Schizosaccharomyces pombe: one gene and its partners. The protein of the gene in region 2 interacts with the protein of the main gene of each other region in a biochemical or structural test. Each region holds a gene or a part of one and is shown on either strand. Other genes may lie near its edges.

What was found.
Region 1: the proteins of rad24 (region 2) and ste11 form a complex in vitro, tested with the Schizosaccharomyces pombe proteins (one study listed by BioGRID).
Region 3: the proteins of rad24 (region 2) and sts5 form a complex in vitro, tested with the Schizosaccharomyces pombe proteins (one study listed by BioGRID).
Region 4: the proteins of rad24 (region 2) and gef1 form a complex in vitro, tested with the Schizosaccharomyces pombe proteins (one study listed by BioGRID).

What each region holds. Positions count from the first base shown.
Region 1 is NC_003423.3:3,980,913-3,988,977, reverse strand, and holds ste11 (DNA-binding transcription factor Ste11), read right to left. Parts: upstream 5,603-8,065; 5' UTR 3,393-5,602; coding exon 1,986-3,392; 3' UTR 1,578-1,985; downstream 1-1,577. Other genes in the region: serine/threonine protein kinase Ppk25, read left to right, coding at 1-963. UniProt on the Schizosaccharomyces pombe protein: Key transcription factor for sexual development. Activates the transcription of the matp, matm, mei2, mfm, ste6 and rgs1 genes. Binds specifically to a DNA fragment carrying a 10-base motif 5'-TTCTTTGTTY-3'.
Region 2 is NC_003424.3:3,381,614-3,387,488, reverse strand, and holds rad24 (14-3-3 protein Rad24), read right to left. Parts: upstream 3,263-5,875; 5' UTR 3,222-3,262; coding exon 3,152-3,221; exon of another isoform or gene 2,953-3,151; intron 2,745-2,952; coding exon 2,002-2,744; 3' UTR 1,804-2,001; downstream 1-1,803. Other genes in the region: inv2 (beta-fructofuranosidase), read right to left, coding at 1-1,442; RecA family ATPase Dmc1, read right to left, coding at 4,085-5,010, 5,085-5,157; SPOM_SPAC8E11.04C (palmitoyl-(protein) hydrolase), read right to left, coding at 5,708-5,875. UniProt on the Schizosaccharomyces pombe protein: Acts in cell cycle and stress checkpoint signaling by sequestering signal transducers regulated by the checkpoints. Required for the DNA damage checkpoint that ensures that DNA damage is repaired before mitosis is attempted.
Region 3 is NC_003421.2:677,028-685,808, reverse strand, and holds sts5 (Dis3L2-like 3'-5'-exoribonuclease), read right to left. Parts: upstream 5,975-8,781; 5' UTR 5,448-5,974; coding exon 2,247-5,447; 3' UTR 1,726-2,246; downstream 1-1,725. Other genes in the region: DNA polymerase epsilon Dpb3, read right to left, coding at 617-760, 862-981. UniProt on the Schizosaccharomyces pombe protein: Required for the maintenance of cell shape during interphase. Required for localization of cortical actin to the growing tips before mitosis.
Region 4 is NC_003424.3:468,661-476,120, reverse strand, and holds gef1 (RhoGEF for Cdc42 (Gef1)), read left to right. Parts: upstream 1-3,130; 5' UTR 3,131-3,221; coding exon 3,222-3,263; intron 3,264-3,318; coding exon 3,319-5,538; 3' UTR 5,539-6,140; downstream 6,141-7,460. Other genes in the region: rps901 (40S ribosomal protein S9), read left to right, coding at 8-22, 68-628; SPOM_SPAC24H6.08 (uncharacterized protein), read left to right, coding at 1,424-2,086; SPOM_SPAC24H6.10C (phospho-2-dehydro-3-deoxyheptonate aldolase), read right to left, coding at 6,295-7,401. UniProt on the Schizosaccharomyces pombe protein: Has a role in the control of cell polarity and cytokinesis. Involved in bipolar growth, via modulation of cdc42-shk1-orb6 signaling, and septum formation. Stimulates guanine nucleotide exchange of cdc42.

The DNA of each region.
Region 1 (8,065 bases), on a different chromosome or scaffold from region 2:
GGTCGTTTATTGAGACATCCCAACATATGCCGGGTAATAGACTGTATCCGGACGCCTGCATGTACTTACATACTGTTCGAATACGTTCCTGGAGGACAACTTTTGGAGTACATCCTTGCTCGTGGCAAACTCGATGAAGATTTGGCTAGGAGTTTTGCTATGCAGTTGATTAATGCATTGGTTTATCTTCACAAGAATTTTATTGTACACAGAGACTTAAAAATTGAGAATGTTCTTTTAACTCAGGATTCTCGTCAGGTGAAGCTAATTGACTTTGGCCTCAGTAATTTTTATAGTAAAGACGATTTATTACGTACATACTGTGGGAGTCTTTATTTTGCGGCCCCAGAATTACTTGATGCAAAGCCGTACATAGGCCCAGAGGTTGATGTTTGGAGCCTGGGAGTAGTGATTTATGTTATGGTTTGTGGACGAGTCCCATTTGACGACGTTTCCGTTCCTATGCTCCATTCAAAAATAAAGTCGGGTAAACTGGAGTTTCCTTCTTACATTTCAGAAGATTGTTGTTCTCTTATTGCAGCTATGCTGAATGTAAACCCACGGAAGCGCTGTTCTTTAGAACAAGCAGCAAAATTTCCCTGGTTAAAAAAAAATTCGTTTTGTTTGTATCTGCCTATTCCCTTAACCTCTATTCCCTCAACGCCTTCAATCCGATCTCATGTTTTCAAACCGCCTTTTAATTTAAAGGTTTTACAGCTGTTACATGAGCATGGTTTAGCAAGTATTCCCGAACTAAAACATGAACTTTACATGGCTTACATTGAGAGAAAAACAACTTCATTAGTCTGTCTGTATTTATTGGGTGTCGAAAGTCTCGCTCCAGCACTTCGAATTCCAACGGCTTTACCTCCTGTATATAGTAGACACCAACGGCATCATTCAGAAATTCTGGGTGCGATGGATTTGACAGAGAAAATTACTGCTATGCAGTGTCCACCTTAATTCCTCCTGGAGTAATTTTTGTTAGCATTTATTATGTGTTTTCGAAGAAGTTCCATTTTAATTAAAACCTGTGGCTCTTTTTCGTTACTTTAATTAAAGAGTTTCATTGTTTCTAAACTTAACTTTTTTCTTTTTTTTTTGTTAGTGGGTAAAGACGAGTTAAGGCTTTTTCTTTTTGTTTTCATTCTTAAATAATACAGTTTTGCAATCCAACATATACAAAGATTCTTACGACTTGCGTTATAATTTTAAAATATAATTGATCGATTTTTGATAGCATTACTTCTTTAAATCCGTCGCTTTTCATGAAATATTTGAATGCCGAATGCTATAAACATTTATAGATAGATACCTTTCGCCATTGAAACCGAATGAATTCTATAAGTTTCTTTGTCAGGTAATTTAATTACCTTTATTCTTAATCAATTTATTGGTTGAGTTATCTTTACATTACCCCAGTAGGTGTGGGTGCCAAGTAAACCTTCATCGATAGTATATCTAGTGAAATGGTGATAACAATACTGCATTGGATGATTGCTTGATACGTAAAGAAAATAATGAACATATATATACTTAACATTCTTACGAAAGTAATGGAAGAGAAAAATTAGAAATTACGTTGCGATATAATATATATTTTTTTAACTACAATATATATGTAATAACGGGCCCAAATTAGATGACAGGAAATTAGATGTAAGAAATCAATTCATAACGTAAGACATTGTTCAAAATTAAAAAAAAAAGAAAATTAGTGGGCAACTATTCAATGTTGCCCAATGTGCTCTTTGGAAACTAAGTATACACATATTCCTATAATAAACATAAAAAGGGAATAATTAAAGAGTTTAAAAGGTAAATGAAATAAATTATGGAAGGCATCATCTAGCATAACAAAGATATGCAAAATTAAAAAAATATAGATTTTTAAGCATGACATGAACAAATCAGCTGCATGCTTTTGTGACGCGTTAAAAATGATCGTTTGTTGAAAACAAAGCCATGTTTGCATAGAAATATTTTCAAAATAAATTAGAATTGGGCAACCAAGGTTCTAAAAGAGAAGGTCCCAATGAGTTAGCATCTTTGAGTGAGGAAGCAATAGGATCAGTTGATGTAAAATCCGTAATTTGTGAAAATAAATCATCCAATTCTTGAGAATGAGCGGCGAACTCATAATTGCCATTTGAGAACAAACTTTGAGAAAAACTATTAATGTCAACAAAGCCTTTACTTTGTTCGTCGCTTCTCCAGGTATTATTTTCAGTATGTCCAGAATTGGTAACACTAGACGAAGAGACGCATGTATAGCCAGAACTGCTGTTCAATCGACTCATTGCTGGGTAAGAAGTATGGCAATAAGGCGTAGATAAAAGTTCGGTCTCTTGGCCGTATAAATACGCAGTAGTGCTGCCTACACTGAGAGGAGTTCCTAGGTACTCAGCTCCATCAAAACCATAATGATCACCGGTATTCGGGGTTTTAGGTGATATACTGGCATTGGGGCAAGAGGGAGTTGAGGGTCGAGCATCAATAGGACTACAATGAGACAACACTTTATCGGCTGACAGCTCTGGACTATCAGAGTTACTTTGCTCACTCACGGTTCCTTTAGAATCAAATTTTGGAACTCTTCGAGCAGAGCAATTGCTTGAATTTTGAGGCAAGTTCGCCTCCAAGCTCGGTGTTTTTGACATTTGATAAGATTTGTCAACACAGCCATCAGATGACATTGATCTTTTCGGTACTATTCGGGCTTTATTAGCTAAACACACAGATTTTGTTCGCCCGATTGGACTACCGCTACTGGGTGATCTATAATAGATGCCCAAAGAACTAGGAGCTTGCTCGGATTTATCCAATGTAGAAATAGTTGTAGAAACTTGATCGGTGAAGGATAAGGAAGGAATTGTATGACTTCGAATCATTGGGGAAGACGAAAGACAAGACAATTCACTGGTTTCAATAAGATTCGATTTACCTGACTTTGGATATGAAAGAGCGGGAGCTAATAAAGCTGCTAAAGTTTCCTCCTCATTAACAGGCTTTTCGGGTTCGGTCTGTTTTAGAGTCTTAGAAGATTGTGCAATTTGCTGCAGTACAACGTAATCCGAGGCCACAAAAGATCCGGAAGAAGGTGATACCTTTTTATGGCGTCTACGAACAGTAGACCGCTTTTTAGGGGTGTACTTGTATTCGGGATTTTCCAGCATATGTTTCTGCCTTTCGAGGGCGGATAAATCAGAATAATACTTCTTGACTTGGGCACTTTCATTTCTCCACAGCTGACCAATGATACGTGAGATACTTTGGTGATTAGAAGTAGGAATTTCAGCTTGGCGATCTCGACGATAAAGCATAAAACTGTTTAAAGGTCGCTTAACAGAACTTTTTTGGTCCTTTTGCTCGGCTGTTAAAGAAGCAGACATTGTGTAGAGAAGAGTAAATATAAAAATTGTAGTAAAAGTAAGGGAGAAAATAAAACAAATGAAACGGTTCTTAGAATTAATTAGAAAGATGATTCAGTAAGAACAAAGCAAACATAAATGAAGTTCGCAGTCAGAAAGAACGAAGTAGAAAAGAAGCGAACAGCACAAACCGAGGGAGAGGGGATGAGATCAGAAAACAGTAAAGAAATAAACACCGAATAAAAACTGGTGTGAAGGATTTTTTTCTATTTAAAAAAAGAAAAATGGTATTAAGATAGAAAGAAATCTCAAACTAACAAGAATGAAAAATGAACAAATTATTCACAGTGAAGTAACAGATGAATATAGTAAAAGTAAAATTCCCTTGTATGTATCAACAAATAAATGAAAATAAAATTTCCGTCAATCTAGATATTAAACAAGCTTGTTCGCCAAAGAAATCAAGTTCAAGCTTAATGAATAGAGACTGACTGGACTAAAAAAAAGAAAAAAGTGACAAAAGTATATTTGATGCCAGGTTTTTCCTAAACGAAAAAAGTAAGGTAATGAAATAATAAATGAAACTAATGGAATTTCCAGCTCAAGAAGAAAAAAACAGAAGCAACACTCAAAGCCGATTTGAAAAATGTAAAGAAGCGTAGAAAAAAAAAGATGAAAGTTGAGACTGAAAAGTTACTAGATCGAGTTGGAATGATGAAGGATATTTTTCGTAAAGGCGATTGAATCAAGGATAACTTGAAAGAGACAATTAGTAGAGGTCCAAGTGGAAGAAGGAGTGAAAGTGATATATAATAGAAGGCCACAAGAAAAAAATTGAAGCTTTAAAAGTGATTTTCTTATAAGCCTAATTTTAAGTTGAGGAGATTTGAAAACGAGAACAAAATCACGAGCCTCTAAGGCTTTTTTTTCTCTATATAAAACGGAGGAAAAACTAAAAACAAGAAAGAGCGGAATAGTTAACAGGAAAAACAGACGAAACGGAAGACTAAATAACGGAAAAGTGAGTCAAATAAAAAGGCGTAACAAGGGAGAAATTTCAGAGACACCGATAACTGAAGAATGGTTGAGCTCTGTAAGATGGTGAAACTTTGGGTATACAAATAAAGTGAGGAATACCAATGAATACGTGAATAATGCGACAATGACAGGGGAGAAATAATGTTATAACATGAGCCAACAAAGACCGATGGTGAATGCAACTTAATTCTGAATGGTGTGTACTAATGGAATCACAAAAGAAACACGTTAAAAAAAGGATATTAAAATAAAATGAGGAATGAAAATCTAATAGATCAGATATCAAGGATAAGCAGCCAAGCGATAGAATAACGATGCGAATAAAAAAAATTTAAAGTTGGGCAAAAATTGCAACAAAGAAACAACTTAGTTAATTAGTAGAGAGAAAGTTGATAAAGGATAACTATGGTGGTAGAGACAAAGAAATATATAAAAAAATTTTGACGTAGAAAAAAAATAAAAAAAAGGGGGGGATTCGACGTACAGTAAGGGAATCGACGTAAAAATTAAAAAAAAAGATAAAATCCTTTTGATTTCAAGAAACGAAAAAATTATTCCAACACTTCTCAATTAACAATTCCAACAGAGGAGGATCCCAAAAGAACGTAGAGGCAAGAAAAACGAGAAAAGTTTGAAGAGAGAAGCGAAGCCAATTGGACCAACAAAATGAAGAAACAGAATAGAAGAAGAAAAAAAAGTTTAAGTCTGTTTACTATAAAGAAAAGAAGAGATGTGAATAAAAATTAATCAACAAATTAAACTTAGAAATAGTCAGTGAAAATAAGTCAAAGTAAAGTCAAAACAAAGAAAAGAATAGAGCTAAGCCAAAGCAAACCAAGATAAAGGAATAGACTTAACACGAATAGACAGGAAAGAATGGGAGGAGGCAAGCTAATTCAAAGACGACAAGCTGCAATCAAGACAAAGACCAGAAAAGTTAAGTTAAGTTGAGTAAAAAAAAAAAAGAAAACAAAGAGAAAACAAAAAAACGAGGCAAAAGCTCTCAAAGAAAAATAAAATGCAAACTAATCAAATGAAATACTTTCTTTTAGCATTCACAATCAGGTTTAAGATTGAAAAGTCAGAATGCTAATAATGCTTTGTTTATTTGATAATAAAGAAAATCCAATATACGACGCGAAACAATTCAACGCTGGATATCCTTTTAATATATGCTAAATGAATAGATTCTCACTATGTAAGTCACCAGGTATGTATGTATATATATATATATATACATACGCATTGGCAACCAACTAGTAAGAGTATAGAGCGAGGCGTAATACGCGATGTTACTGACAATGAAAATCAAACAAAGAAATTCAACTTTTTTAAGTCTAGCCAAAATGTGTATGAGGGGAAGGGACAAAATTCACAGGGGTTAAAGTAACATATGATGCGAAAGCATTTGTCACTTTTACTTGCCTACAAACGATGTAACACAGCAAACAAAGTCAGGGATTCCCCCCTGTACAAAAGATTAGTGTGGCACTTGGCAAAAAGTCTCGCAAAGCTACTTTTCGTTGAGGGAGATAGCGCAAGGCAAAATGACAAGAAGCCAACGACTAGTCTTCCAATGAATGAGGAATTGTAGAACGCTGGGGAAGTTGGAGAGTTAAGGAGGGGTGGAGAAAGCAAAATAGAGTAAGCGGGCATTTGAAGAGCGGCAATTTGCGAAACCGCAGGGTATTATAGGTAAGGTTTAAGCAAATGTTAAAAGAATAAAAAAGCATAGCGAATGTGTGAAAACAAGTGCCGGCAGTTTGAGTAGTAAGCAAGTGATGAGGAAGTAGTTTGGGGTGAACGGAACGGGAGTGAAATAAGAATGGCGAAGACTTGGAGTCATGATGAAAAATACAGGTACTACGAGCGGAAGGAAAGAAACCACACACATACAATGATTCTATCGAGTCATTGCCATTGGAATTTTGCTACAATTTACCGAAAATTAGGCGTGGGTGCTTGTGTTTCCCTTCCATCATCCCTGGAGATGGCATGCACCACAAATAATCTATCGCTACAGTGATAGACATGTAAGATGGAGAACAAGAATGTCGGAAAGGTAAGTGCTGTGGTAGTACAGGGTGATTTGCATAAGAATGACATTTTTTTAGCAAGATCATAAAATGGGAAACGCGATGGAAGAGACTATGTGAGACACAATGTATGCTGTAAAAGTATAATCTTATTATATTAAAAAAAGAACGACGAATAAATTGAGAAAGGTGAAAATTTCAAAAAAAAAATAAATGGAATGGAAAAAAGAAATAAAACCATTGAAAACGATAAAAGTCCAAAGACTAGACATTATTTTAGAGAAGGAAATGAATGCTACTTGAATTTGTGCAAAGTAGCTTTGACTTATGCAATGTAATAGAAAATAGGAATTGCCGCCAGATTAGCGTATGTGTGCGTACAACTTGAGATATGCGCTAATTTCCATTGCATATCACCCAATCGCACTATTAACCTGGGCTTTTGTAAGAATTGAGCGAGCGACCAGCAAAACAAGGTTGAGCTTAAAAGGTGGATGACCCGCCGAGTCAGAAAATGGCGGCCGGCAAGATGCAGAGAGGAAGGAGACGATAGGAAGGAGAGATGGGAGAAAGTAGAGGTAAAGATGAAGATGAAGATGTAGATTAGTTATAGATGAAGACGAGTTTTGAATGAAAAAGGTTACTACTGAACGATAACGAATTTAATTTGAAAACGAATATAATTTTTTGAAAACGACTATACTTTGAAAATAACCTAAACCGATAAATTTATAGCTAAAAACTTCACAAATTGTATTGTGGAATGTTTTCTTACATATCACCAAAATTGCATCCTTTTGGAACTGGACTCTGCTAGCCAACTGTGCTTATCATTGTTGACTTGTATAATCCCTCATTGCGGCTAATCGATGTTGGATAGACAGTAAATGAAAAAAATGGAGAAAAACAATTTGGTGAAAAAATTGACCATCCTATATATGGGTGACTCTTGATCATATGTATATCTCTGATCATATGTGTCTTTGACCATATGTATCTTTAAAAATGCTATAGTGTTTTACAAGCGTAACTTATTAAATTTCTACCAACCCATTTTATTGTCATATCCATTCTCCTCTAGTATCTATTCTATCTTACTACTTCTTCCTATTCTACTCGAATAAACTTGCCGATTAACTTTTTGCTCTAGAGCCGAGTCCACTTTTGAAGCGGGGCTTTTTCTCAACAAAATGACATTTTCTCTTCAACTGCGAAATCAAACCATTCTTTTTTCTACTGTTGCTTCAGCCACCAATCTGATTACGATACAATCTCAAATGGCGCTGCTCAGTATCAACTTGCCGGCAAACTTCGTACCATCCAAATTAAATCAACAGCAACCATACAATGTAATGATATATACGCGACAACTTATCCGGACAAGTGTACTGTTTTTTAGTGTTGTATTCCTATCTACTATCTATAAAAAGAATTACAAATTTCATGAATTATTATGCAACTAAGAACGAAACGCACTTTTTACAACTTCCTTGTTTTGTCTTACCTTACTCTGTGTAATACGTATTTTTTTCAAGTGGGCGCCCACAACTGTAGGTGAGAAGAGTGATGGTCATTTTGTAACTATGATGGCAACAAGCTCAAATAACGTTGCCTTGGTAC
Region 2 (5,875 bases):
TGCAATGGTTCATCTCCCTTAAAATAGTAGGCGTTTGTTAAGCACATTATTCCTCCTTGCAAATAAACTTCAATAATGGAGTGATCTACTACAGCTTCAATTTCCAATATATAATTATCTTCGTAAGAAGAGGGAGGAACAGAAGACGTACACCGTTCAGGATATAAAGGATATTTCCAACTAGACGAGCATACACCCCTTTCGACGTAGACGGCACCGTCGTGGAATCGGTATCCAAGTTCAAAATACTCCTTAGAGGTCTCAACATCTGGCGTGGTAGACCATGTCAAGCATAAAAACTCCATAGGGGATTCTAATACAATACTTTTCGGAATGGAAACGGCGAGGTAGAATACAGTGGCACTAGTCCAGACAGTAGGAAATTCACAGACACGGTTTAACAAAAGTGGAGCTGGTAGAGAATCTGGATAGTAAAGATGGTGAAGATTAACTGGACGTTGACGTAGCACAAGACCACGCGTTTCTTGATTGAGATGGGTGTAGCAAAGAGTAAGTTCTCGAGGAATAGTAAACATACCTCGATGTTTCATACGCATAGGAACATCGTTCGTATAGTTCCAGTTACTTGCCCAAGAGATGGAAATGACTCTTCCATCGGGTGCATTACCAAACGTTTGAGTGGCATAGCAATCGTGACCGCAATCCAAAATTCTGGACGCGCTATCAATTGGAGTGAAGGTTTGACCATCAAAATCTCCAATAAAATATTGAACCATGCTACCCCCATTGATCGAAGAACCAGGATTAATGGAAACAATCAGTACCCATCGAAACTCGTCGGTACCCTCGATAGGGAGACGAACAAAGTCAGGGCATTCGTATTGGTATCCTAAAACGCCTGCAGAACCAAATTCCGAAAGTTTTACCCAATCGCGAAGGTTTAGGGAATGGTAAAACAGAACTTTGTATTTTTGAGCTAACACTACAACCATGATCCATGCTCTACTTTCTTCATGCCAAAACACTTTTGGGTCGCGGAACTGCGATTCCTTGATGTCGAGGATGGGATTCTTTTTGTATTTGATAAATGTGATACCTCCATCCAATGAGTAGGCAATGTTTTGAGTTTCACGATTATCATAATGCGTTGTATAAATCAACACAATTCTTTCTTCAGGGTCAACCGACTTTCTCGAAAAAAATCCACTTTCAAAAAAGCCTGATGAGTTGGTTTTATCGATCACTGCGCTTCCGCTAAACATTAATCCATGATCGTCTCCAGGTGCAAGGGCGGTAGGTAGTAATTTCCATTTATACAGGTTTTTACTCACTGCATGGCCCCAATGTTGATTACCGGCTTGGTTTCCTGTTGGATTCCATTGAAAAAACAAATGCCATTTTCCATTACTGTAAACCAGACCATTGGGATCATTCATAAATCCTTCTGGAGGCGTGAAATGTATGCATGGTCTCACAGGCATCGATTCAAATGTTTACTGTGCGTTTTATATGCAAACTTAAAGCTTTTATATTTAATAATGTTTGAGTATCACTAGAACATACAAATTTTTAAGCTTTGTGTAAAAAGTGGTACATCGGTCGTATGCAAGGAATATTAAGCAATTCGGTGCAAATCAGTCAAAAAGCTCAAATTCAATCCGATAGGCTTAAACATTCTCAATCTACCAACTCTTCAGTTTGAAACTCACATCTATCTAGACTATTGCTTGATTAACTCAACACCCACTTAGCCAAGCAAATCATTACGGGTTGTGTACTCGAAATTAAAATGTCGTCCAACTACTGTATTTTTTACAGCAGCTACCAAATACACACATATACTACGACTGTAAAAAAAAAAGAAATTTAAAGAAAGACAAAAAGAAAAAAAAATTAGAAGAAAATATACGAGAATGTAATGAGACTATTCCATCGTGTAGTACACAAGATCTAAACGAAAAAGAACTCTTAGACAAATAAATTTTTTAAAATTGGTTCATAGTAGTGAAAGTATGGCATCAATCATGAGCAACGAGCTATCTATGCGTCCGCCTTGGGCTCAGCTTCGCCTTCTGGAGCATTGGAAGGAGCGTTTTCTTGAGCTCCCTCGGTGTTACCACCAGCAGCGGCGGCACTGTATTCAGCATCAGAAGTCCATAAGGTAAGGTTGTCACGCAACAATTGCATGATTAAAGTAGAATCTTTGTAGGATTCCTCGGAAAGGCTGTCCAACTCGGAGATAGCTTCATCAAAGGCTTGCTTGGCTAAGTAGCAAGCACGGTCGGGGGAGTTCAAGATCTCATAGTAGAAAACGGAGAAATTAAGAGCAAGACCTAAGCGGATAGGATGAGTAGGTGCAAGTTCGGCGGTAGCAATTTCAGAAGCGGCCTTGTAACCTTCAAGAGATTGATCAGCGGAGTGTTGGCGCTTCTCACCAACGGCAAACTCAGCAAGGTAACGATAGTAGTCACCCTTCATCTTGTAGTAGAAAACCTTGGATTCGGCAGAGGCAGCATTAGGGATAAGGTGCTTCTCAAGAACGGTCAAGATATCTTGGCAAATAGTGTCAAGTTCTTGTTCAATCTTTTGACGATATTCCTTAATTAATTCAACTTGAGCAGTATTGCCTTTGCTCTCCTCCTTTTGCTCGATGGAGGAAACGATACGCCAAGACGCCCGGCGAGCTCCAATTACATTCTTATAAGCAACAGAGAGCAAGTTACGCTCTTCGACGGTCAATTCTTGATCAGTGGAGGCAACGCTTTTCATGTTTTCAACCATGCCTGGATATATTAGTGATAAGTACATAAGGATTTCGACTTTCGAGATGCGCAGCATGATGTATTTTCCGTATGTCTGTATGAACAAAAAAATTTCTTCTCGGAGTAAAAACAATTAGAAATAAAGTTAGGAAACAAGTTGAAATACTAAAACACCTTTTCAACATCACCATAGCCAATGCACAGTTCATTTGACAACCACCATACAACACACAAACACAAACATTCTACCAACTAAGCCTCTGATCACAACTATGTCAAAAATAAATGCAATCGATGTTTTACAGGAAGCCCGCTTACTCAAAAGCTTCCGCCGATAGAACCTTGGATGTGTGTAATTTTGTTCTTGCAGAAATAACACCAAATATATCTCTGCTCTACGCGTCTCTAAACCTTATAAAAGCACATACCTTCATAGCGCTCGGCTTGCTCAGCAAGTTTGGCTAAATAAACAGCATCTTCACGAGAAGTAGTAGACATTTTTACCAAACGTTCGAAAATGTGAGTATATCGTGGTGGTTGGCACTGGAAAGGTTGCGGAACGTCGTATGGTAGAAAAAGGACTGCTCCCACAGTAAAATTTCGTAGCACTGCGTAAACGTGCCCTGTGCTTCTGTATGTCGAATTTAGCGACTGCGCATCGTAATTTATCGGCACGACAGAAGGTTATCGAAAAACCTGGCTGCTGGACTGTTCTCGTTTGTTGCGACAAAGCCCCGGGGTAAACACATCCTTGGCAACGGATCAAGAGAAACTGTACCCCTTTTGTCATATTGACGCAAAAGGTAAACATCGAAAGGAAGGTGCCTGAACACGTGCAAATCTGCAGGCCTTCATAGAATCGGGAAATAAACTGGAACAAAGGTGATGACGAATTCTGTCTCACACGATATAATTGTTTGGTGGAAGTCAGATTGTCCAACGATTGCAATGAAAGGCGCTCAGCTTTTGTTAATTGATACATGCGATAGCAACTTCACATGACACTACTTAAACAAATTTGTTGACTCGTAAGAATAAGTTGCTTTTGGGGGTTTGCGCCATTCGCAACTATTTGATAAATGTGTAGTTAAGAAAATCTTGGTTTGGTTATCTAAAATGGCGCGAGCTTCTCATCCAAACTTTTTCTTTAAAGCCATTTTAGAGACCAATAGTGAACTGATTATTGTATTAAAGATATAGTATTGCAGCAGTAAAATGTTAACATTAACGTAATCAGTGCACTCAATTTTGTTAAAACATAAGCACAAACGCAATGATAAAAGGCATTGCTGAACTTGGCTGATCTTTTTTCTTATTTCTCTTCTTTTTTTGTTTTTTTTTTGGAATAGGTAGAAAATCAATTAGGAAACGTCTGCTATGCCACCAGGTGTAATCACATAACTGCACTCGGCTTCAGGCATATCTGGAGAATCATTCAATTTTGCGACACGTTCCTCACCTCGACCTTTTCTTAACAGCAGACGGGTCGCGCTTGCGTGAGCCATGACATGGCCTCCTACAGGTTTTCGATCGTTGGACGCAAACATCATTGCTGCTCCGGGGTCTGCTTGAACCTGATTTGTGACAAAGACCGCTACGTTAAACTCTTCAGAAATATGATTTAATCTAGCAAGCATAATGTTTAATTTTTGTTGCCTTTCTGATAATTCCCCGCGACCCGAATAGTCAACCCGAAATAGTGCCATGATGGAATCGACAATTAACAAACGGTATTGGCCATCTTCAGCAAAAATGGTTCCTAATTTTGTGATGTATTCCATTTGTTGCTCAGAGTTGTATGCTCTACTGACAATGATATTCTCCATAGCCTGATCGGCGTCTACACCAAATCGTTCTGCAATGGCTTTGATTCGATCAGGTCGAAATGTTCCTTCTGTATCTATGAATGCTACTTTTCCTTCGGCCCCGCCCATATCTCGAGGAAGCTGGGCAGTGACACACAATGTATGCGACATTTGTGTTTTACCACAACGAAACTCTCCAAATACTTCTGTAATACTCATCGACTGAATTCCCCCTCCAAGGATGCCATTGAGTGCCTCGGATCCTGTCGAAATACTCCATACTTTTTTACGATTTTGACTGATTTCCATCGCAGTGGAAAAGTTTGCTGGGCACATTTTTGATGCCGCTTCCTTCAGTTTATCCACTTTGGCTTCGCTGAAACCTTTGATTTTAAGGAGAAATCTCTTTGTGGACATATGGACTCCTTGCACCGTACAAACGCCTGCTTGCTTCAATTTTATGATATCGGTCATACCAATCCCTTTGATTATGTTAGTAGATATTTAAAGCAAATACTGGGAGTCTTATAACTGCCGTATACTCATTCAAGCTTACCGTGAGCAGTTAGGTCTTCAATGTCACTAAATATCATTTGTTCATCATCATTCCCCTCTGCGAATTCTTCCATTGCACTTTATTTTTATATTGAACGTGTATTAATCAAATTACACGGTTTTTGGTTGTTGTTCGTACTATGTAGAAAGAAGAATTGCTGTAGTTATCCACGATATATATATTGCGGAAATTCCCAAAATTACCTCTCTAAATCACAACAAAAAAACAGTAGATCTATTTGTTTCTTTAGTTTAATTACTTTACAAGTTCAACTATAGAGTATATGCACTCATAATCATGTATTATACTTGATGCAGCTACATGTAAACAATGAACGCGTCGCGAAATATTGCTACTAAAAATGAAAACTAAACTCCATAGTATCTATACTCAAAACAAAATGCTTCAATCCTTAAAATGCCATAAATGAGTAAAACTGTTGGAGAGAACCTACCAAATGGGATGACAATTCATAGTCTTAAGTTACTAGTATGAAACTGCTTTCTAAAAAAGGGAAAAGTTAATCACGGTAAATCTTATTTAATTTTATGAGTAACTCTAAAAGTGCAAAAGACTCGTCAATTTCCTTCATTTGCAAAGTCTCAACACCAAAAACACAATACTTATGGTGAACCAATAACTGTCTGAGTAAATTTATACATAGCCATAAACGATTCTGAAGAGAGAGAGTGGGCGTCTCCCTCAAAAGGTCGATCGAGACATTTTAACTGTAGATTGTTGATGAGGTATTTAGCTGAAGCACTCGACAAGACAGAGGGAACAATAGGATC
Region 3 (8,781 bases), on a different chromosome or scaffold from region 2:
TTCGGTAGTCGGAAATTTAGAACAGAACAAATCTTAAATCAGTTTTCGAGTATAGTAATGTACGATTACGGCATTATCACGGCAAGGTAGCGGAGGTATAGAATATAACCATGAAGCAAGCAATACGTCTGCATCGCTGGGATTAGATAAAGAAGCTCGACCTTCTCTGCATTTTTGTTTAAATAAATGAACCAAATGATATTGAGAAAGGAATTAAATGAAGAATATACAGATGGGCGCTGGTAGCTTTTCAATATCTTTCAATCGAGTTCAAACGTTTAACCATTTCCTAATCATTAAGATTGTTTATAGATGTAGCTAACAAAGGCCGCAAATTAGTCATGATTGAAACATGAAAAATCAGGTAACCCAATTTAAGAGAACATGTGTTCTATTTTATCCAAATAGCTACAGTAGTTGTTTGATAAAGCTGTTTGAAAATGCGCATTGTGGATAAAAAGACACAAGAGCATGAAAACGAAGAAGAAAACTCAAATAAAATTCATTAAATCACATTTTACTGACAAGATGATTGTTTCCTTTCATTTCATGAGGAAGTTTCTGAACAAGAAAGGAAACACTTAAGCTTCCGTTTTCCAGTTCTCACACTTTTTAATTATATAGAAAACAAATCTGATAAAAATTCAAATTGATCGTCCTTACGTACAACGTCCTCAACGTCCCTGTATCGTATTCCTTTACGTTTTTGTAATTTGGCAAGTTGATAAGCCTCTGTTGCTAACTTTTCAACAAATAATTCCTAAATCATAAAATAGGTAAGCTTTTATTTTTCTTTTTCTTTTATGCAATCAAAATGGTGCTAAGTCGCCCAGATAGCTGATTTATCAACAACACACATACAGTAGCTACTGAAATTAACAAAGCAGATGCATTAGAACAGTAGTGTACGTCTTCATCTTGCTTTATTATCCTCTTTACTCTGCTCAATGGCAATACAGTTTTCCCATATGTTTTCTCCATGAATCAATCCTATCGACCGAAACAATTTAAAGGACTGGAAAAAAGCAATTATACCCTTAAACTATAAGGTTCTAATATAAAATAACCCAAAATCTCTAGTGCTATAAAAAATTATAGCCTTCTGATTTCTGACTTTTAGTGTGTTGTTGTCAAAATACGAAGTACTCTCGCGTCGCGACCTAATAATAAACATACTTACTTTACCACTAGAACCTTACATTGTTGTTTAACTTGAAACATAAATATTTTTAACTTTTTTTCTATTTTTAAAGAGTATTTCATTTAGTTCTCATAATTTCTAAGACTTTGTGGATTAATAATTTTTTATAATCAGTATAGCATGCGTATACATCAAAATATACTCGATATCGAGTTAATACACTTGGTAAACAAAAGCCGATATAACAAGGCAGCGTTAAAAATGAAAAATAGTAATCACTAAGAATATTTGTAGAATCCTTTTCTTTTTAATATCTTATGCCGTTTTCATATCATAAAATAGGACATGAGTAACTAACACATCCCGGATACGTTTCATAACTATAAATTTGAATATTTTGTGTAAGAAATGAACTTAAATTGCAAAAAATCAACTGAAAATTGCTAAGATGTCGTCCAATAGTAGATTCATTTTAAAAAAAGAAACAAAAAATAAAAGACTCAGCTAACCCCAAACGACCGATAAGAATCCACTTCTGATTGCCTAATCGCCGCAGTGATTGCAAACGCAAACGACACTTCATCTACTGGTAAGCCAACAAAGTGACATGTATCAATATAAAAGCAGGATTTCATTTTTGAAACAAAATCCAATCTAATGTATAAAAAAGGAAAAGTTCAAGGTATCATCAACTCATGCACTCATAAAATCACGTATCGAGACTACTGGATTCCTTCATCCAACTCTATCATCGTGAACTATCGTAATCAAGTTTAATCATCCTTTTAGTTATATAACATAAAAAATCGGCATCTTAGTGTATAAGATTAAACCGAGTTTTCGAGCTCCTTGGCTATGCAAAACTTGTAAATCTCCAGAAACAAATATTAGACGTAAGTAACAGCTTCGTCGAAATTAAAGAGAAAAGTAAGAATGGGAAAAAATGCAGTTTTAGAATCGTAACATATTTTTTATCAACAATGCCTAATAATAAGAGCAATAATATGAATGAGAATATAAAGCCATTCCAGGCATCCGAAAATGAACATGTGTCACCAAAAAACACATACATGAAATAAACATTGCAAACAATCGAAGTTCAACATCAAAACTCGACATTTGAAACGTTGATAAGAGGTGGAGTCGAAAGCTGCACAAAGAGCTTAACTTTGACAGAGGTCAACAATTTAACAACTGTAACGGCTCCGCTCTCGTCGTATAAAGATAAAATGCCCTGGTCCTCTTCAAACCTTACGTGGGTTAGATTGAGCAAATCTAAATGAACACGTTTCTCCATGCCTAGAGATGGGAAAAATACGTCAAAATATGATGGAGCAACAAAACATACGAGACCGTCTTGCCAAACCTGACTCTCCGCCCAGTCACTAAATATTTTTATATGAATGCTAGTTTCTTGCGCAAATTTGCTTATAACCAGACGACGGCTTGCATCGTTTGCCGCTTGCGACCATACACGAAGGCGCTTTTCAGAAGCCAGTTCTCCTCTCAAAAGCAACTGCAGTTGATAATGAACTACAATATCACCATAACGTTCCAAAGGTGCTGTAAAATGTGTCAAATCGTCACTTTCGTCCTCAATACCAAGACTCATCATCTGGGAAGCGAGATTGCCTTTATACTTCTGCATTTCATAAACTGCTCTTGGGGTAACCTTATAATAATAAAGCTGCAAAATGTTACGAACAGTATCGTCTTCGATCAAACTTAAAGAGCGTAAAAGTGATTTTGTCGAAGACAAATCTAAAACACATCCCATCTGAATGGCCATACTTTGTAATATGCGACAGTTTTCTCGAGAGGGCAATCGCTGAGTCCTAAGGAATGCATTTTCACGGAATTCCTGACGCAAGTGGCTTGCAACGGCTCTATTAGCGGCATCCAAAAGAGTTTCACGTAAAACTTCAACCGCCGAGGAAATAAAAAGATTCGTTTCATTGGGATCAAAGCTGCAGCTTTCTTCATCCCATCGACGTACTAACCTACAATACCGGCTGAGTGGCACGTCTGTACCAAGATGATGAGTTCGTAAGCGACTGCTTACGGTATGGAATAAACGAAGTCTAGCATCAGTTTGAAGCAACTCATCAGCTTCCTTCATGGTATATGCCTTGCGAGGACGAATGACAGCCCATCCAATCCAAGTGCCACGAATTTTACCAGTTGAGGAAACATCCAGTAAGAGAGACATTGTATAACAATCCTTATCTTCTCGTAAAGATAAAGCCTCACCTAACGTAGTGGGAAACAAAGGAACCGACTTTTGGCAAAGATTCACCGCAATACTTCTTCGCTGTAATTCGCGATCTAATGGGGATCCTGGCTCAATAACACGAGAAACGTCAGTAACATGGATTCCTACATGATAACCAGTTGAAGTTGGTCGAATATGAAAGGCAGAAGAAACGAAATCAGTAGCAGAACTAGAATTGATGTTTGATTCATGTTGCTTGACTTCTGAAACGGCTGCTTTGCTAACGTCATTTTTAACAAATAAAAAGACATCTTCAGATCGATAATCTGCACAACCAGCAACGTTTAAAAAATTATCCGATAAAGCATTGAGTGCAGTTACGGCGGATGTAGCGGCGGATCCTTCCCATGGTTCACTATGAACACCCGTATCGTGTAATAAAGCGGATACTTGAGCAGACATAGAGTCCATAGATCCTAATTCACCAACCAACATACCAAAAGGATGTAGAGAAGTTACAGGCCAACGCTTTATAGAAGCTAAAAACAATCGTTGAGCATATGCTTGATCGTTACCCAAAAAGTCTGTGGGTGCTTGTTCAGTAGGAATTGCAATCAAAGGCACACGTTTATCAGATGGCTTAAACCATACGATTTTGGGCTTGTCATTTCCCGAGTTATTGGAAGAGCCTTGATTACCCGACGAGGTCTGCCTCTCCTTATTAGCGGCACTACTTGGCCGAAGTATGCCAAGCGTACCAGAAAATACCTGGCCTGGCGCCCTCTGCAAGACTGCTACGACATGACCAGCATACTTTGGCTTTTCGTCCGCACCAAGCTGCTTTTGGTCAAGAAGGAACAGGGTCTGCCCTTCCACTTGTTCATCATCTCTTGCTTTTATAGCAGACCTCTGAGGAACCTCAAACGGTACGGCGTCAATTCGAAGGTTGTCAAAAGAGCCTCTAGTAGAAATTGGGTCTTTACGCCTTCGATTCTCTTCCTTTTCAAGTTTACCAGCCCATACCTCGTCAACGTCTAACAGCTCTATGGCAACGACATCACCCTCAAGGGCACGATTGCGATCTTTCGAACCACATATGAATACTTCCGCATCCAAACCATCGACACTAACAAAAGCGTCTGATCTATTTTTCTTACTTACAATTAAAATACCCGTTACCAAACGACGCTCAGCGAGTAGAGCAGGAATCGATGACTGTGGTAAATAAGGAGAAAAAAGATTTTTACGGGGATTACCTGAACCTCCCGAAGAAAAACCAGAGCCAGAGGAGCCAACACTTAAGCTGCCAGTCGATCGACGATGACGATGACCACCGCCTTCAGGACGAAAGTTTGAGGTATTATGAGTTACAATAGTCCCAGGAAAAGATGGATTCGCGGCATGAGTAGGACTATTCGTTTGAGAAAGTGATGAAGGACGCCATTGAGCATCCAAATTACGAGGGCGCAATAATTGTGGTAAAGTGTTCAAGGCTGGTAAAGGAGATGCGTTGTTGACTGGAGGAACGAACGCATGGGGAGTAAACGGTACGGCGTTATGGGAATTGGGAGAGGAAACAGAAGCAACACTATGGCTTTTTGCATGCCGCCTTGGACTAATGTTCGTAGATGTAGCAACTGATGGATTTAAGCTAAACTTTGAAGGAACGGTCGGACTGTTAGGGAAGGAATCTGAAGAGGCAGAGACCGAAGTGGTGAAGAAATTAGTAGGGTATAAGGGTTGACCGCCTTGAGTCGGTGGTTGCATATTAGAAACGGCTGGAGAATTAGAAGGAATAGTGGCTTGGTTGGAAAAATTGCCCATACCAACGCCAGCACTAGCACTTCGACGATGGCCATGAACAAAGGACGATTCAACGGCGGGTAAAAGACCAGTGTGTCGAAGCTGATGCATGTGCTGCTGTAACGGTAGCCATGTGGGGCGATTAGCAGAGGGAGTGGTTTGTAACCAAGGAGTGGTGAGGGAAGGGTTTGCAGAAGGAACAAATGTAGGACTCGATTGCGCATCAGAAGGATCCTGTTGCTGATTAAGCATCACCTTGTAAGGAAAGTCATTTTCAAACTCCTCATCCATGACACGAAAAGGGTAGTGAGAAAAGAAGTATTAAAAGTTAAAGGAGCAGTGGGTTAACAAAAAATAAAGAATATAAAAAGAAACAATGAGATCGAACGAAAAAAGAAGTCGCTAGCAAAGAAAGACTGGCTAAGGCGAAACGAGGCACAAGATTCGTAATCCAAATTAAATACGTAGACCCCAACTGATAAAAACGGTTGCCTTTAAAGATATCAGGAAACGATCCAAAAGATAAGTAGAAGGAAACCCCAAAAAAAAAGAAGAAAGAAAGAAGTAAACGGGAAAACGAATGTTTACGGATAAAAAAAGCGTCTTATTAAGGAAGGTTGTGGTTCGAGAAGTGAACGAAAAACCAACAAAATTAAGAAAAGGAAAAAAAAGAAGACTGGTCCGTCAGAAGCGAAAGAGTTAGGCGGCAAATGAAAATCGCCGCGAAACAGTCAGCCCCAAAAGGAATTTTAATTCCTCAAATGTCAAAATCGCAAGGAATGAGGAAGTATGAAAGTGATCAGTGGTAGATCCTCGTTAATTAAGGAAAAAAAAAGGCCTGCTTATAAAAATCCCGATTCTACCGTAATGAATGATAAGAACGTAATTCTCACTTAACAAACAAAGTTAGTTGGTAATATCTAATACTTGAATTCCGAGGCGATCCGCAAGCTGGCAAACTGATATATACGGAGCGCTATTCGTTGTATCGGTAAAAAGAGGTAGGCTAAGAATGCACAGGGAGAGGGAGCTTAGCTAGCTAGAGTAGAACAGGCGAAAACCACCAGTTTCGCCAAGGAAGTGAGTTGCGAAAGAAATGAACAAAGAAAATGAGTGTCAAAATGGTAGACAAAAAATGGTTTGTTAGGTAAAGCGTAACTCCTAAATATCGTGAGGAATGGCCTCAGCAAGTGTGAAAAAGGAACAAACAAAGACAAAAGAGGGTATCAAAGAGAATATCGACTTGAACGATGAAATCTTAAGCTGAATAAATAGATTTATAAAATTTCGGTATAAAGCTAAGGCCGATTGAACAGTCAATTATCACAAGAAACGAAAGAATAGACCATTCGCGTTGAAAACGATGACTTGCGGACGATGGAAGTAAACTGACGTGTTCAGTATATAGGAAAAATTCATTAGCGTAGTGCGTTCGAAGACGTTATACAATCGATGATAAGAGTGTATGAAGAATTGATTAAACAAGAAGTTTGGAGGGAATGAGAAAGTAAGATGGAAAACGAAAAATTTGGCAAAACAAAATTAGTAGTGAATTACTGTTTATTAATAAAATTCGTTTTTGACAGGCAATTATGTGTTTCTCTTTGCTTTGAAAGTTGGTTTTTACCCACAAGAAGATTCTTACATCGGATATAAGAAGAAAGAAGTAGCGAAAGGTGGCGATCCAAGAACAGTAGCGCTCTTGAGCAAATTGGTTTGAACTACTGATTCTTTTGATTTTATAAATTATCGTTAATCGACCGGGCAAGCTTACTTCAACCATAAATCGTGGACAAAGTAACAACTGACATAAAAATGATGAGCATACGAAAATAGACGAAACGAGCAAAAGGCGAAAATAAGTAAACATGGAGCAACAAAGTAAATTTGGAAAGAATGAATTTCTTCAAACTACTCAATGAATAGCAATCGCCCTAGAAACATGAGTAATTGTTTGAATTAGTGGACGACTCAGACACGCATGGTAGGAAGACTGTTTACTCTATATAAGGATATTGGCAGCAACACATAAACCGCTACAACGATAGATACCGAAGACATTAAACTATTTTTACGTATATTTGTGCATTTTAATGAAGACATTAAAATTCGTTAACGACGTGCGCTGAATTTTTCGATTTGAAGAGGAAAGCATCAAAAGACTTAACAAAGTATTGAAAGAATGAAGCTCTTCAATAATATATTAGAGGCTATTTAAAAAATTTGAAGAACCTTGGTAATAAAAATCGGTGCAGCTTCATAATTATATCGTCGTCCCTACCGATGTCAATCATAATTAATTGCTTTCTTCGTAGGATAGAAATGTAAACTGTAGAACGTAAAACTTAAGAGGAAGGGAATTAGAAACATTTATTATATATATTCCTAACAACCCTTAAAGTGTACGAGTTTGTCAAAGAGCATGATGGGACTTTGACTTTTTTTACCTACCTATACTGCCCCAAAAGGACTCATGGCAGAAATAGGCTTCAAATAAAGTACAATAGTGATTACTAGCACAAATCCTTATTTTTTATTACTGGAATTTGCCGATTTATTATATGAAGATAGCGCGATTGTACGTTGATAAAGAAACGAATGGAATAAGGCACATCACACCAAAATCTTATGTGACAAAAATCTATCACAATACATCATTATACAAACACTACAGTAACGAAATTTTATATTATGAGTACCTGTGAATTTCTCTATTTTATTTATCGATACAACAGAGCAACTCGTTTTTCTTGTAAAAAGTAAATAAATTCAATTTAGTAAACGATTTACGAACTTCTTCTAAGTTACGACATATTGCATGGAAGAACGTGAGAATGTTTGTTGGTCCGCTCTGCCTTGGGGCTGTCAGCTGCTTTACTCTTTCTCTGCAATCGGACGTATGACCTGGAAAATACGCTTGTGAACAGATTTTGATAAATGTTGAAATAAAATTTGGAAATATTCAAGATAAAAAAAATAAATCTATAAACAATTATTCGATTTCGAAAGCTCGACCTCAGTTTCTATTGCTTTATAATAAATCTATGTGAAACTGTTCAGATATATAATCTTATAAAGAAGGGGATATAGATCATGTCTGAACATTTGTAATGGAGCTGCTAATCCCTGAAACCTCGCTACAATAATATTTGATGAAACCATACCAGTAACATGCAGGGTGAAAATTGAAACAAGAAAAGATTTAGTGCTTGGAAGGTTCTTTGTTTAAGTAAAAGCTACTGTATGTCTTTTTCTTCCTTGAGCTTGCTACTTTGAAACACTAGTTGTTTACATTAGCAATCTGATCAATTTGAGACCAAAAGCACACAAAATAAGGTATTTATTATTAATATTCATTCTCTATAATCAATTTCAGCAATTTAAAAATCTTTCTTCATTGGTTTTGAAGAAAAACATAAAGTGAAACTTCTTGCTGTTACTTTAAAATTTCATTACACCTGCAAATTCTTTGCTACTCTCTCCTTCTTACTTGGTATTTGAGAATTTGTGGTTTAGGACTCAATTAAATTATAATAGAAAAAGCAAAAGGATCGGGTGCTTATTATAACTTACTTTGGGTTTTGTATAACTGGATTTAGGCTTCAATTGTCATACTTTAGTCACC
Region 4 (7,460 bases), 2.9 Mb from region 2:
CACGAAAATGCCTTCCGCACCTGTAAGTAATCAAGTGTATATAAGAGTATTACTAACATTAAATTAGCGCAAGCAATCCAAGACTTACAAGGTCCCTCGCCGTCCTTTCGAGTCGGCTCGTCTTGATGCCGAACTCAAGCTTGCTGGTGAATACGGTTTGAGAAACAAACATGAAATTTGGCGTGTGGCTCTTACCCTTTCCAAGATTCGTCGTGCCGCCCGTGAGCTTTTGACACTTGATGAGAAGGATCCCAAGCGTCTTTTTGAAGGTAATGCCATCATTCGTCGTCTTGTTCGTTTGGGTATTTTGGATGAGACTCGTATGAAGCTCGATTATGTCTTGGCACTTCGTATCGAAGACTTTTTGGAGCGTCGTTTACAGACCCAAGTTTTCAAGCTTGGTTTGGCTAAGTCTATCCATCATGCACGTGTGTTGATCTTCCAACGTCACATTCGTGTTGGTAAGCAAATTGTCAATGTTCCTTCTTTTGTTGTCCGTTTGGATACTCAAAAGCACATTGACTTTGCCCTCTCCTCTCCTTATGGTGGTGGTCGTCCTGGTCGCTGCAAGAGAAAACGTCTCCGCTCTCAAGAGGGCGGTGAAGGAGAAGAAGCCGAAGAAGAGTAAATTAAGCAGGTGTGACATTCTCTTCTATACATTTCTAAATGGGATTTCTTCATAGCCGCTTCTATCTGCCTAATAAAGAAGTTTGTTTGATTGCATAGTGGTTAATTTTGTTTTGTGAAATTTTAATTATTGTACTTAATGTGTAGATTATAATTATGTAAGATTGTAGTGTCAGTTTATTTCATATGAGTAATATGATGAATTTGTTGTTTGTTTTGTAAAAAAGCTGCTTCAGGTAATAAACGGATTTTAAATAGAAGGTCGTTGATTAAGTTTTTCAGGCTTTAGATGGTAGTTGAGCTTCTACGGATATTAAATGTTAATTACTTCTATCGCTCGAATGGATAATTATTCAAACATCGGAGCCATTGCAATATGCTGACCTTTATTATTTGAAATCCATTATTGTATTAATTATGATATTCCCGTACGTTGCACATTCAGCGCTATTGTAAAAACTGAGTAGGTAATTTTTACTACACCAAAATGTCGATATTATTCGTCAGCTACGAACTTTGATGCTCTAAGTACTTATATTTATCCTTATTATAATAACCTTACCATTTTTTCCTACTACCGTTGTTTTTAATAGTTCCGCTGCTGAAATCACCTTATTGAACATGTGATATATGGCAATGTTGCATTCGTCTCTTCTTATCCACTACCACAAACCTTCTTGAACTGCTATAAAGGAATACACCAGCCAGTTTCTTTGGTCGAGATAGAAAGATTCTTATTTATTTCGTTCGTTTAAACAAACTAAACATAGAACAACATTATTTGCGTCAACACAACATGACTTCACATCAAACTGGGAAAATTGAGGTGCACTGGAACGATCCTTCTTCTGGTATCTTTTTAAGTCAAACTCAACGAACGTCTTCCACATCAAGTTTAAAGAAATCGGCTTCGAGTAGACGTTTGGTTTATGGTGATGACATGCTGGCACCCAAACCGTTAGCTGGTCAAGTACTTAGTAAATCACCACTTCCTCCTTTTTCACCTTCAAAAATTATGAACAGGAGTATATCTGTTCCTCCCACGAATATCTCTGTTCCTCAAATTAGCAGTAATCCTCTCAACTTGATGAAGAAAAGCAGTGACAATGATATCTTTACCACGTTTAACGATACAACAAACGATTGTATGAACGAAGCTTCTTGTGAAGATGTCAGGCACTCCCTATTGCAAATTATAGAAAGTAAATCAAATCTTAGTGATTCTGTTCATAAGATGTTGGGTGAACGAGTCAAAACGAATTTACTATTACAAGGTCAACTAGAAAACATGGAAGGCTTTTGGCTACAAAAATTATCGCAAACATGTCGCTTGGCGTTGACAGGAAACATTAGTGAGGCGAAGGCATTTATTGTAGAAATTATGTGTGCCGGTGTTGTAACTAATTGTGTGCGCTGGTGTCCAGTTTTGAAGACTCTAATTGAAAACCTTGCTATCTAGCTTTACATGTTGTTATATATTTTCTAAATCTTCCTGCTGCAAGTTATATGACACTAATGCTCTTTTTTTCTTAATTCTATCATTTTTAATGATGTTACTCATTTGCATTTTAACAAACCATTTATAAGCATGATTAGCTATGTCGGACGCTAACGAAGTTACAAGTTAAAGGATTTAATAACACTTCCTTTTTGAAATTAGAAGAAATCTTAATAGATATAATGGAAGTTTCCATTTTTTTTACAATATATATTTTTCTTATGGCCTGTCGATTAATAGTATTTTTAGTTTAATTTACTGAAACATTATATTTGTTTTTAGTGAACACCGTAGAATATTTAGGAATTTTGACTAGGTCTGTTTATCATACACACTTAGTATTAGATATCGTGATTTTTTGAATATATGAAAAAAAGTACTACAGACAGAAAATGCAGCGTATTAGCCTCAAGTAATTATTAAAAAAAATAAAAATTTTCTTTTAAAATTATACAGTGTTTACCAAAGTTATGTAAGACAATCAACTGCCGCTTCTCTCTCATTTCTGTTTATATACATCTTTAATGTTTATTACTTATTAAAAAAAAAAAAAAAAAAAAAAAAAAAACAAAGCAAATTACGTGCATTACCAAGAAAACAAAACCGCTCTAAATATTTAAGCTAATTAAAACAATGAAATAACAAATTTATTAACTTGTAACCGTAACAGTGGAATTTATTTTAACTGCTGTCATTTCTAGAATTTCATAAAGGGAGACATGAATAAATTTAACCTTATATTACAAATTGTAAATACGTAAATGTTTATCACAAAATCGAATACTCAAGTCATATTACTATGTACCTGTGCAAGCAACCATTTGTAAACCAAGTACAAAGGTAAACTGCCTCTGTCCGCGGTTGGCGCTCAAAAAGCTGAGCCAAGCCTATTTTTGGCAAACTATTTTTCGTGGGTGATTACGTTATGCATTGGTAATGAAGATAAGGAAGTGGAAGGTATTGAAAGTGGATTAAGAAGAAGTTGGCGCCAAATCTCCAAAACCTGTGCTTTACCAACAACGTTACCTAATAAAATTCATGTAAACAAAATTTCCAAAATTGTCATTCATTTTATTGTTCTCCAAATGTTTTCAATATGGAGACTTTAAAAGCAGATCTTTCGGATATGTCCGATTCCGTATGTCCTTATACTTGATTTGAATGTGTGTATATGTGTTAACAATGTTGATCAGCCTGAGTACTTTGAAACCTTGGCAAACAGGGATTTACCAAGATTGCCTGGAACAAGCAAGCTTCATCGAGCTGCATGTATTAAACGAAAATCTATCAATTTAAGCCTTCCTTCTAACAGTTATTCGCTTTCTTACCGACAATCAGACGACACTGATGGCGATGTTTCAGAATCACAGAGTGAATACAGGTTGAGTAGTGGAAGGAGGTCTCGAGCAAGCTTTGCTCGTGCTTTACAAGATCCCCAAACTCCAAACACTCCTCCCGTATCGTCTCAGCACCGAAGATTCTTTTCGGAGGGCTCCTTCAATTTGCCAAACTCCAACATGAGCCACTCATTAAATGGGGATTCTACAGCCTCTAATAGTTCTACTTTAACCCCTAATCGTATTTATGGGGACCGCAATCGTCAAGATTATGCTCAGTCTAGCCGATATACTTTGCCTTCGTTGCCTAGTTCCCCATCATATAACTGTCCTACAACACTTCGAAAAATACATACAAACACGAGTAGCAATGGAACTTCACGAAGAGTTAGCGGCCTAGGGTCTTTTATGGCACAGAATTCCTCTGAAACTAGCAGTAACAGGACTTCGGCGTATCTACCTGGTAGCTCTACGGATGAACAAGAAAAGCGTTCCAGTGTGACTTTGGCAAGTATGCCTTCCTCTCATTCGTCTACAGCGTCCCTCCTTTCACCTCTTGATACTACTTCTTTTTCTACTAAGTTGGACTCTACTATTTTGGCCTTGGAAACTGATGAGTCTCTCAGCCGAACAATTTCGTATGCCACTACTTCTTTACCGAGCACACCAGGTAAGCGTTTATCAAAGGAATCTCTTGCTATGTCTGAAGCCAGTTCTATCAATCCAGAATATAAGCGTATTAAAAAGCGTGCAAATTTGATTAAAGAGCTGGTTACTACTGAAGCTGCCTATTTAAACGATCTCATTGCGATTCAACAAAGTTATGGCTTGCGGGTCAAAGAATGCAGTGCATTGAATCCAGTTGACGCCCAAACAGTTTTTGGCGATATAGAGTCTTTATTAACTTTTACTGTGGAATTCCATAGTCGACTTTATCAAGCTGGTGAAGGCTCCTGGCGTGTAAACTTGGATACCCAGCTTATAGATCCTCTTCCTTGCAATTTAGGTCTTATTTTTTTAGAAAGCCTTTCTGAAATCGGTCAAATTTATACTGGTTATTGCAACCGTCAAGATTCGGTTTTCAAAATTATCACTAAATGGAGAGAGAAACCTGCAACTGCATCCTGGATTATGGAGGGTGATAAAATAGTTCAAAAATACACGAACGCCTGGGATTTGGGTAGTTTAATAATTAAACCTTTACAGCGCTTACTCAAGTACCCCCTATTATTGCAAAAAATCATTGATGTTACTCCTGAAAGTAGTTCTGAGCGCCCAGATTTGGTCCTTTCTTATCAACTATTACAGGAGTTAATATCTGGTATAAACCAGAAGCAGAAGCCTTCTCATAAGCGTGGGTCGTTAAGTGCTTCTCATAAACGAGACGCTGCTTGGAGTTTACTCTATAAAGCAACATCGAATAAATCTAGGCCCACCACTACATCTACTGAGTTAAAAACTGATGCTCGATTGAATTTTCAACGCCAAGTGCTTCAAGATTTTCGACAACGATTCGCTATATTAAAAGCCTTACATGCTACATTGGAAACGTGGTACGTTACTGTACATCGTGGATTTTCGGTTTTTGAAAAGGTTTTAGCAGAGCTTGAAGGGCTTAGTGCTTTAGAGCCCGAAGACAAGCCGGTAGATACGTGGCGTAAGTATCATTTACTTGCGCACATGATGACTGCTAACCTTCCTTCTCAAATACAAACGTCTTTAAATTCTTCTATCCTTAACCCAATCACAAATATCCTACGAGTGATTCAAAAAGTTATTCAGTTCATTATCAGCGCTGAATTTGTGATTCCTGCTCAAAAGCTTGAGGCAATTTCTACTCTTGTTGAGAAGGAATTTCACAGTGTTGTTTATCATTTTATTGGTATTCAACGCTCTCTCTATGAAAACTACGCTCAAGGTTTCTTGTTTCTTATCCCTCAAGACATGAGGGATAGCATCTTAGAAGAAACGCAAGATTATGCAGAGTTAGTTCGAGCCTTTGAACCCATGCATTATGATGACGAGGTATTGCTGGAGGAATTAATGAAAAGTGTCTCTTTAGCTGCGAGGGTTTAAGAGCAACTTCTTTAGTCGAATATTTTTTATCTGTTCTATATATATACACATTTAGATATACTGCATTCATGTTACTTGAATGATGAAAACGTTTCTCTGGACCATGGTTTTTTGCAGCTTCCATGTATTTAACATCACAATTACATTTATTTAACCTAATATCTGCGTTTGTCTGATTACAATTCGTTTAGGTTCTTTTAACGGTCTTTTTTTGTCTATCACAGAGGCCTGTTAAGTTTAGTTTCAAATTAGGATTCTAAACGCTTTTACGCCTTCCTTTTATGCATCTCATTATTTTTGTCTGCTCAAGTCGAGCTATTAATTATTGTCTTTTCACTTTTTTTTTTTAAACTAGGAACGTTTTGGCTTTTCTGCTGTTATGCCATTTTATTTGTTCATACGCTTCCACTTTTCATTTATATGCTTTAATAATGTATATAATATTTGACTTTCACTTTAACTATGTTTTATGTTTAAAATATGTAATTAGGTTTTGATTGAATTAATTTTGTTCGTCGTTATTTATCCTAGTTGACTAACAAAAACAGGTCAAATTCTTACATTCGTAGTAAAACCAAAACGTAAATAAAAATACTTACGATGAAACAGTCTGGAACCATCCGATAAAGTGCAATGATAAGTACGATAAATAACCTTTTAAAAGTCACACTGTTAATTACGGCAAATACAAATTTATTATACAAGAAACCAAAAAATTTATTTTTATAAAACTGTCTCAATAACCTTCATTATAGGTTAATGAGAACGACGAGAACGGACGGCAGCAGCCAACTGTTCAAAAACGGCGGTAGTGTCGTCCCAACCAATGCAAGCATCGGTGACACTGACTCCATATTTCATACTTGACAAATCATCCTCAGGTATAGCTTGCTTACCTTCGTTAAGGTGAGATTCGATCATGACACCAGTAATTGCTTTCTGACCGTTTGCCACCTGCTCAGCAATACAAGCAGCAACCTTGGGTTGATTCTTATGGTTTTTAGATGAGTTTCCATGAGAACAGTCGATCATGATACTAGGTAGCTTGTTGCATTCTTCGAGTTTAGCCTTGGCACCAGCCACTGAATCAGCATCGAAGTTAGTCCCACTTTTACCACCACGCAAAATAATGTGTGTATCAGGGTTACCTGTAGTAGTAACAATGGCTACAACACCCTGCTTTGTGACAGACAAGAAATGATGAGGGTTGGCAGAAGAATTCATAGCATCTATAGCAATACCAATGTTACCGTCAGTAGCATTCTTAAAACCTATTGGAAAAGAAAGCCCTGAAGCAAGTTCTCGATGCAATTGGGACTCAGTGGTACGAGCACCAATAGCGCCCCAGCAAATTAGATCAGCTAAATATTGGGGACTTATAGTGTCCAGCATCTCTGACGCTATACCGACACCAGTTTCCAGAAGCTCCAGAAAAATGCGTCGAGCGACACGAATACCCTTATTAATGTTATAAGATCCATCCAAATCGGGATCATTAATCAACCCTTTCCATCCAACAGTTGTACGAGGCTTTTCAAGATAGGCGCGCATAATAATATGCAAGTCCTTCTTGTGCTTAATAGCCTCCTTTTGCAAGCGAATGGCATACTCCTTGGCGGCAACAGGATCGTGTAAAGAACAGGGTCCAACGATTAGAAGAAGTCTATCATCACGTCCCGCAATGATATCGGCGGCTTGGCGTCTTTGATCCGACACAAAAGCAAGTGTTTCATCAGAGGCTGCTAATTCTGATTGAATTAAAGCAGGTGAAATTACTGGATCATAGCCTTTGATACGACTATCTTCAGTTTTACAACGTGAAAAAACACTGTCGCCAGGAAGAAGAGGAGTGTGCTTGTCCATCTCTTAATGATTTTCTAACTTGTAGAAGACAAGCCATTAGTATAATGTAGTTCTCAAGA